Macaca mulatta: one gene and its partner. The protein of the gene in region 1 interacts with the protein of each later gene in a pairwise test. Links are inferred from orthologs where the notes say so. Each region holds a gene or a part of one and is shown on either strand. Other genes may lie near its edges. The genes, in order: DNAJB11 and UBR1.

What was found.
Region 2: the proteins of DNAJB11 (region 1) and UBR1 interact in a two-hybrid assay, tested with the Homo sapiens proteins (2 studies listed by BioGRID and IntAct). The link is inferred for Macaca mulatta from reciprocal best matches to the Homo sapiens genes DNAJB11 and UBR1.

What each region holds. Positions count from the first base shown.
Region 1 is NC_133407.1:98,756,678-98,760,494, forward strand, and holds the end of DNAJB11 (dnaJ homolog subfamily B member 11), read left to right. Parts: intron 1-53; coding exon 54-136; intron 137-779; coding exon 780-837; intron 838-1,929; coding exon 1,930-2,041; intron 2,042-2,495; coding exon 2,496-2,655; intron 2,656-3,426; coding exon 3,427-3,491; 3' UTR 3,492-3,520; downstream 3,521-3,817. UniProt on the Homo sapiens protein: As a co-chaperone for HSPA5 it is required for proper folding, trafficking or degradation of proteins.
Region 2 is NC_133412.1:20,504,809-20,509,298, forward strand, and holds the start of UBR1 (E3 ubiquitin-protein ligase UBR1), read right to left. Parts: upstream 2,874-4,490; 5' UTR 2,783-2,873; coding exon 2,702-2,782; intron 1-2,701. UniProt on the Homo sapiens protein: E3 ubiquitin-protein ligase which is a component of the N-end rule pathway. Recognizes and binds proteins bearing specific N-terminal residues that are destabilizing according to the N-end rule, leading to their ubiquitination and subsequent degradation.

The DNA of each region.
Region 1 (3,817 bases):
GTTTTGTTTATATTTTCATTATTTTTCTCCTCTTTTAATTGTCTTTACCTCAGACTAGTGAATGAAGAACGAACGCTGGAAGTAGAAATAGAGCCTGGGGTGAGAGACGGCATGGAGTACCCCTTTATTGGAGAAGGTAAAATATTGATATTTGATTTTTTTATTGTCATAACTTTCTGCTCTCTGCTTGTTTGTGAATACCTCTCATCCCTGCCTTGCTCCATCTTAATGTTCACATAGTAAATGCATATATAATTTCCAATACCCTTCAGCCAATTTTAGGATATACAAAACTTTTTGTTTACCTGAAGCAGTAGCATTACCGTTTATCCTTTGAATGTCATGGCCAAAAGTTATTATGAGGTAACCTAAGTTTCCTCAAAATTTAGGGTGTTCAGACCTTAATGAATTTTAACTCAGCAATGAAAGAAGATATGTAACTCTAGTTGGCATTAATAAGATGTTCTCAGGACCTCACCTTTAGACTTAAGTTTAAAACTCTAAAAATAAAAAAAAAAAAGCTTTGAGACTTAGGTTCAATAGACTAGTGAATCATTCTTGGTTTAGGAAATGGGTCAAGTTATGTACTGCTGTATCTGAGGCAAAGGTAATGATTTCTAATAATCTGAAACTTGATAGAACCAGGCAGAGACACAGCCGCCACAGATTTGACAGATCAATGCCCAAAGTAGTGGATTAAAAAGAATTATCAGTTGCCAAATAGATGTGTGGTATTCAACTCGTATGATTTACAATATGCTGTAATCTGCTCTGACTAGGTGAGCCTCATGTGGATGGGGAGCCTGGAGATTTACGGTTCCGAATCAAAGTTGTCAAGTAAGTTATCTAATTTTAGAGGTCTTCTCAGATGAGTCAGATTATAGAGGTGTGGGTGGCCACCAGAGCAGTTAGAGACTTTTTTCTCTGTTTCTTACCCTTATTACCCTAAACGATGATTTGTAACTCCTCTACAAGGCTGAAAGCTTGGGGTTGGGCCCTAGGATTGAGCCCCAGTTATTTATTTACTTAGGACTTACAAATGCAAAAGATGTTGAAAGGAAAGAATTGATAAGTAAGGAGTTATAAAAGAGAAACAAACAAGATAGGGAGTCAAAGCTGAGATTTTAGCTGAAGAACTATGGCACCATACAAGAATAGGAGACTTTGCCATAGAAAGAACTTTCTACGTAATATGCAGCTTCTGTGAAGAGAGAGCTTTTCTTTTGTGAGCTTCTCTTCAGCATGAAGTGCTGCTTAGACAATTTTGCCTGGGACTCCGGCTTTCTTGATTAGTATTTCTCTCTTGTTACCGCTTTGGAAACCAGTAATATCTCTGCATCTATAAGGAGTCATCAAAACAGAGTTCCCACCAGAATAGGGAGAAATGGCCGCCCACTGTCTGGGACTTTTCCTTCCTGCACTCTTTATTCTCAGTGTTGTTTTCCCCAGCTTCTTTGCCTACCTTGTCTTTATCATCACTTCTTAGAGAAACTGGAACGTGTGTTGTTTCCTGAATAAACCTGACACCTTCCTTGTCTTTGCCAGAATTCCTTCTCACTCTATTTCCCCTTCCTTCCACCCATTTTATCTGCATTTCTACAGCCAACTTAGTCTTGTGAGCCCAGCTCAGGAAACTTCTGTAGACCCATTTCTGAAGATGATCTCCCCAGAAACTTTCTTTCTCTCTTTTCCATAATCTAATGATTATAGTTTTACTTATACTCTGGCTTTTGCTGATTGTGTGTTCCTTAACAGTAGCATTTAATAAGACTTAAACAACTTTATATTCTCGATTAATACTACACACAAACGTATGTCTAAGAAATGTTTATGGTTTGAAAGAGTGGTGTTCACCTTTTTCCAAGATTTTTCTAACAACTCTTTGAACTTAAAGTGGAAATTAATGATGTTTACCTATTCTGTTTTTAGGCACCCAATATTTGAAAGGAGAGGAGATGATTTGTACACAAATGTGACAATCTCATTAGTTGAGTCGCTGGTTGGCTTTGAGATGGATATTACTCACTTGGATGGTCACAAGGTAAACAAACCAATTTACTTGTTCTCCTTCCTTTTGAAGCCTTTATGTGGGTAGTTTTGAGATGTATCAGCTGTTTCAGTCATTGAGAACCAGAGGGACTCCTTTCTCAGTCGTATTCTTCGTCTGTACTTACTCTGCTGCTGAGCATCCTGCAATAACAGTGCCAGACCTTTCAGCTACTCAGAATGGATTGCACAGCCTTTGACAGTCTTGTCCTTATAGTTTCTATTGATGAAAACCTTTCTTTGTTTACTTGTTTTTGTGTTTGATTTTCTTCTTTAATAAAATCCTTTGTTCTTGACTGACATTGTCCTAATGATATTTCCTTTGCTCCTTCATTCTTTCTTTTTGCTGAGCTGTGACATTAGCTTTGTGTACCAGTGCTCACTAGAAGCTGTATGATGTACTTCAGATGTACCGCTCCTGCTGCAGTGCATTCCCTTTTGTTTCCTAGGTACATATTTCCCGGGATAAGATCACCAGGCCAGGAGCGAAGCTATGGAAGAAAGGGGAAGGGCTCCCCAACTTTGACAACAATAATATCAAGGGCTCTTTGATAATCACTTTTGATGTGGATTTTCCAAAAGAACAGTTAACAGAGGAAGCAAGAGAAGGTATGGCATATGAGTGTGTGTGTGTGTGTGTGTGTGTGTGTGTGTGTGTGTGTGTGTGTGTGATGAGAAAAGGGTGGCAATAGAAGCAGAACTCTCCAGTGACATGAGACATCAAGACATCAATCATTAATGCTAGTAGAACACTAACATAGGAATGAACTCATCTTACTTTGTAAAGGTGATATGTTAAAAATCCTACATCTTTGTGTTACAAAAGTCTGTGTAAGCTGTGCTTCGAAACCTAGGGAGTGATAGAGTATGTGGGAATGAAACAGAATCCCTTAAAACAAATGAGCTGGACCACTCTGTAAAAGGGAAGATGAGGTAGACAATAGAAAGATTAGAAGCTTATGGTTGCATGTCTAGGATGACTGGCTGAGAAGAGGGCCCCACTCGGGGTCCTAAATAGTAAGAGAAAGGAGAGCAATGAAGGAGGTAAAAACTGAAAAGAGGATACAGAAGAAGGAATGGGAGACTTAACTGAAGAGTTTTCTTTCCCTTTTGATTGCCTCTTCTCATTCCTCATTTTGCAGAGCTTTGTGGGACATGTATGTGGTATGTGGGCCTAAAAGAGACAAGGGATCATCCTGGAAACATATGTGCATGTGTGGGATTACCTACATGCGATTATGTTGGAGATTGGTAGTTATTTAATTCACATCCATGTTTGTCATAAGGCCTTTTATGAGCCTTTTCTTGAAATATGCTCTTTAAACACTAGGAAAGTAACATTTTTTTGTTAATGGAGTCATTTGTTCATTCATTCTTCAGGTATCAAACAGCTACTGAAACAAGGGTCAGTGCAGAAGGTATACAATGGACTGCAAGGATATTAACAGTGAATAAAATTGGACTTTGTTTAAAATAAGTGAATCGGCGATATTTATTATCTACAGGGTTTTTTTGTGTGTGTTTTTGTTTTTATTTTCAATATGCAAGTTTGGCTTAATTTTTTTTGTCTAATGATCATCATGAAATGAATAAGAGGGCTTAAGAATTTGTCCATTTGCATTCAGAAAAGAATGACCAGCAAAAGGTTTACTAATACCTCTCCCTTTGGGGATTTAATGTCTGGTGCTGCCGCCTGAGTTTCAAGAATTAAAGCTGCAAGAGGACTCCAGGAGCAAAAGAAACACACATAGAGGGTTGGAGTTGTTAGCAA
Region 2 (4,490 bases), on another chromosome or scaffold:
GGCATGGTGGCACATGCCTATATTCCCAGTTACTCAGGAGACTGAGGTAGGAGGATCACCTGAGCCCGAGAGATTGAGGCTGCAGTGAGTTATGTTTGTGCCACTGCACTCCAGCCTGGGTGACAAAGCAAGACCCTATCTCAAAAAAAAAAAAAGATGTTATCCATTCCCACAACCTCAACTGTAAATTTACTGATAACTTCCAAATACCTAGCTAAGTATTACTCAAAGTGTGGCCCATACACCACTATTACAGAATTAGCATGGCATGCTTGTGAAAATGCAGATTCTTGGACCTCACCTCAGACCTACAGTATTAGTTCCCCTGGTGATTCTTAAGCAATGGCTTTTATCAATGTCCACTAATTCATACATATTATTTTATTTGAATTGCATGTGAGATAATGTTAGGAATACTACAGCCTTCATGCTTACTATCAGCAACATGAATGAAAAAGGATCTGCAGACTAAGAAGAAAATTTAAGGAAATCAGAGACTATAACCAGGGATTAGACTCTAATGGAAATTGTACAATTGCTTAAACCTCTATGAATGTCCCGTACTATTTATCTTTGTCTAAAGATAAACAATAAGGAGTAGGGGGGAACAACTGAGCTTGTATTGCTTAAGAGCAAAGTAGTAAACTGGGAAGCCAGTGTCACACTATGGCTAGAATAAAATTGAAAACAGTAGTATTTTTAAAAAGAGAAAAAGAGAAAGAGAGAGAGGTAGAATGATCTGTAGGGTCTTCAGTAGAGAGAGAGATGCAAGCCATAAAAGGGGTTATAAAGCTTAACAGTCACAGGTCCTCATCTACTGACATTACTCTACCTTGAATTAAAATTATCTGGGCACTTATATTACCTGTGTCACCAGACTGTGAGTTCCCTGAGGCTATATTACACAATCTACCTACTACTTTGCAAAACCTAAAGTCCTGCCCAACAAAATCTAATAATATTTCCTGAGGTAAAGAGTTGCCACATAAATTCTAGCTCAATTCCTGTATCATCTCCAATTCCAAATTAGTGGCGGCCAGAATGATGGGGTTTTACTGTATCATTTGGAAAAAATTAATGTATCAAAGTTTTAAATAAATATTAGTCTTCAGATACAAAATTCTAACAATCCTTCTGACCACAGCACAGTTTCCCCACTCCTTCTAACAAGCAAAACTCACAAACTACCATTAAAATGTTTCAGCTGCTTTTATATTTGTCCTACCTCCTCATTCCTTATCATCACAAATAAGATGCTTTCTCCTTCACTACCAGTAGTGAAGTGAATTTGAACTGCTATTTGGGGTGGAGGAAAACAGCAAGCACTGACATAGTCAGAAGCCAAACCCTTTTCCAACTCCCTCCCTACCTGGTTCCTACCTCCTAGCCAGTCTCTTCAGTCCCTGAAGTAGCTCCCTCTGTTTTTGCATAAAACAATGTTCAATTGTATGCAGGGTTAAAAAACAAACAAACAAAAAAACCTTCAAGAATGCTTTTAATCTGTAATCCCAGCACTCTGGGAGGCCGGGGCAGGTGGACCACCTGAGGTCAGCCTGGCCAATATGGTGAAACCCTGTCTCTACTAAAAACACCAAAAAAAAAAAAAAAAAAAAAATTAGCCAGGCATGGTGGCAGGCGCCTGTAATCCCAGCTACTCAGGAGGCTGAGGCAGGAGAATTCCTGAACCTGGGAGGCAGAGGCTGCAGGGAGGCAGAGGCTGCAGCGAGCCGAGATTGTGCCACTGCACTCCAGCGTGAACGACAGAGTGAGACTCTGTCTCAAAAAATAAAATAAATAAAATAAAACAAAATAAAGCTTTTATTAAACTACAAACCAAAGAAACTTCAGAAAAAATGGTGTATATCCCAAACCTCTAAATGCTGCTATTTGGAAACACAAAACTAATAAAACATTATGCAGCGACAGATACTTGAATATTTTCTACATATCTCCCCACTAGATACCCTGGGCATCCAGAACATTCCCTAACATTGCCCTCTACTCTTATCTTCCACCGTCAGCTTTCTCCCTGTAGCTAGTGACTCAAATTTGTTCAATATCTCTGCCTTCCCATTCTTCCAAAATGCAAGAGCAAAGTATAGATTCCAACATTAATTAATGGTATTGCTCGGGCTTGAAATGTTTGGGAGTTCTTTCTTCAGCTTTAAAAAGTAGCGACAGATGATGGGCTTCTCCACTGAGGGTTAGGCCTGGGGTTCTTAAGATGCTATATCGAAGGCCAATTACTACACCTCACATCTAGACATGACAGTGGCAGCACTCTCTATCATTATCAGGTCCCGGCCAGCAGGCTATGCAATACAATACCAGGTGCTGCATTCCCATCATCAAGAGTAAAGGGTTGGTACTGCTTCTATACGAAAATGGCTCTTGCTCCAACCCCGCCTAGGCCCCCACATCAAACCGTCTAATAACATCACTGGTTCTTTCTACTTCAGAATAGAGACATGCATGCTTGAGATCATCAGAAATAATACATAACAAAGTCATTATATTCCGTACACTTGGCTGGCAGAAATGTGGGTCGCGACTAACTTTTTATTCAGTGGCTTCCTTCCAGATCAATCCAGGTAACTCCCCCTCCCCAGAGCCGCCATAAGGGGTGAAGCCCCACATCCTCCTAAGCGCAGCAGGGAGGGACTGGGGGGAGGACAAAAGAGACTTGCCTATAGGGACTTACACATGCCAGACGCTGAGGGGTCTGGGGTAACTCCGCGCTGATTTCCATCCTCTCCGCACCTCCAGCTTCCTCGTCCGCCATCTTGAGGGAAACTGACTCCTGCAGTTGCCGACCCCCGGCCAGAGGCAAGCGGAAACCTGTGGCCGGTCGGAGACACAGGGACGACACTTTTACGACGGCCCCTGAAGTCGGGTTTGACGCAGAACTGAGGAGCGGCTTCCGGCCCGCTTCCCGGAAGCAAGCGTCACGACGTGAAGGGACTGGAGAATTTTTTTTTTTCCCCTGTAATGTATTAGGCGTAGCGCTTGGTAGCTGAGTGGTTGTATATCTGGATTTGGTGCTGGGAACTTGCATCTACGAGGTTAAAAACAAAAAAAAAAAAGCCAAAGTTAGCGTCCATTACGAAAGGAAGAAAACTCGTCAGGGGCTAAAGCAAGAACCTGTCCTAGCTGGCCGGTTGTTGGCCTGAGGGTGTTTTGTATCCCAGCCTCCCTGCAGTAGTTCCCCAGAGCCTATAAAATGAAAAAGAAAGTACTCACACATCTTCCATTTTTAGGGTTCTACCCCGTGGGCACTTGCACATGTGTACAAAAAAGCTGGGGATCCAGCTTTATTGGGGAGCACGGGGGGGGAATAATTTGGAAACCTAGTCATTCATCGATAGATGAAAGACAAGATAGACTATGGTACATTCGCATTTTGAAATACTGTGCAGCTCTTGAGCAAGATAAATCTGCGTGAAAAGATCAACATAAATTAAGTGAGAGGGAAAAAAGCCAAGTTGCCGCAAACTATGTATTTGCACACATGGGCATTTAAATCTGAAGGAATAAGTCTGAAAGGGGAAAGGGCAAAGTGGTAACTCTGAGGGCCAGGATTCGGATTGGAGGAAGAAGGTGGTCAAGAGCTACTTTACCTTCATCAGTATTTTAAATTGTTTACAAAACAAATAATTTTAAAGTGTATATTTTTAACAAAGGGAAGAAAATAAAGCTCCAAACAATGTGAAAAGCAGAGGAGGCTTTCCAAATGCTGTGGTCCACCTTGATTAGTAGAACTTTCCTGCCTAAACAATGTTTCTGCTCAAATGAACTACCGTCTGGGTGCTAAAGTACTGTTTTTCCAGCCTTTTTTGCCCAACAACCACAATAAATACATTTTACATCTTATCACTGTACCTATACAAAAGTATATGGGTATATATAGAATATGTATATATACGCTGAAACTAAAGTTTCCTGAAACCATGCTTGCGATATGTCATATTTTCTATTCAACTGCAATATGTTTATGCATTTAAGCCAAAATACTGGTTGTAGTTGTTAAAGTGATATTATAATCCACAATAGATATTGTCCCACATTTTGATAAAAATTGCCCAAAAAGTTACCTTGTTCCTTCCTGTCTCTATGCCTTTACTCCTGGAGTTCTCTTGTGCTACCCCACTCTCTTTTCTTCTTCTTTCATTCCTAGATAAATGAAATAGACTAGAAAGTTCAGAAATAGGTCTGGGGCGGTGGCTCACGCCTGTAATCTCCCAGCACTTTGGGAGGCCAAGGTGAGTGGATCACCTGAGGTCAGGAGTTCGAGACCAGCCTGGACAACACAGTGAAACCCCATGTCTACTAAAAATACAAAAATTAGCTGGGTGTGGTGGTGGGTGTCTGTAATCCCAGCTACTCAGGAGGCTGAGGCTGGAAAATTGCTTGAACCTGGAAAGTGGAGTTTGCAGTAAGCCAAGATGGTGCCACTGCTCTCCAGCTCTCCAGCCTGGGCTACAAGAGCAAAA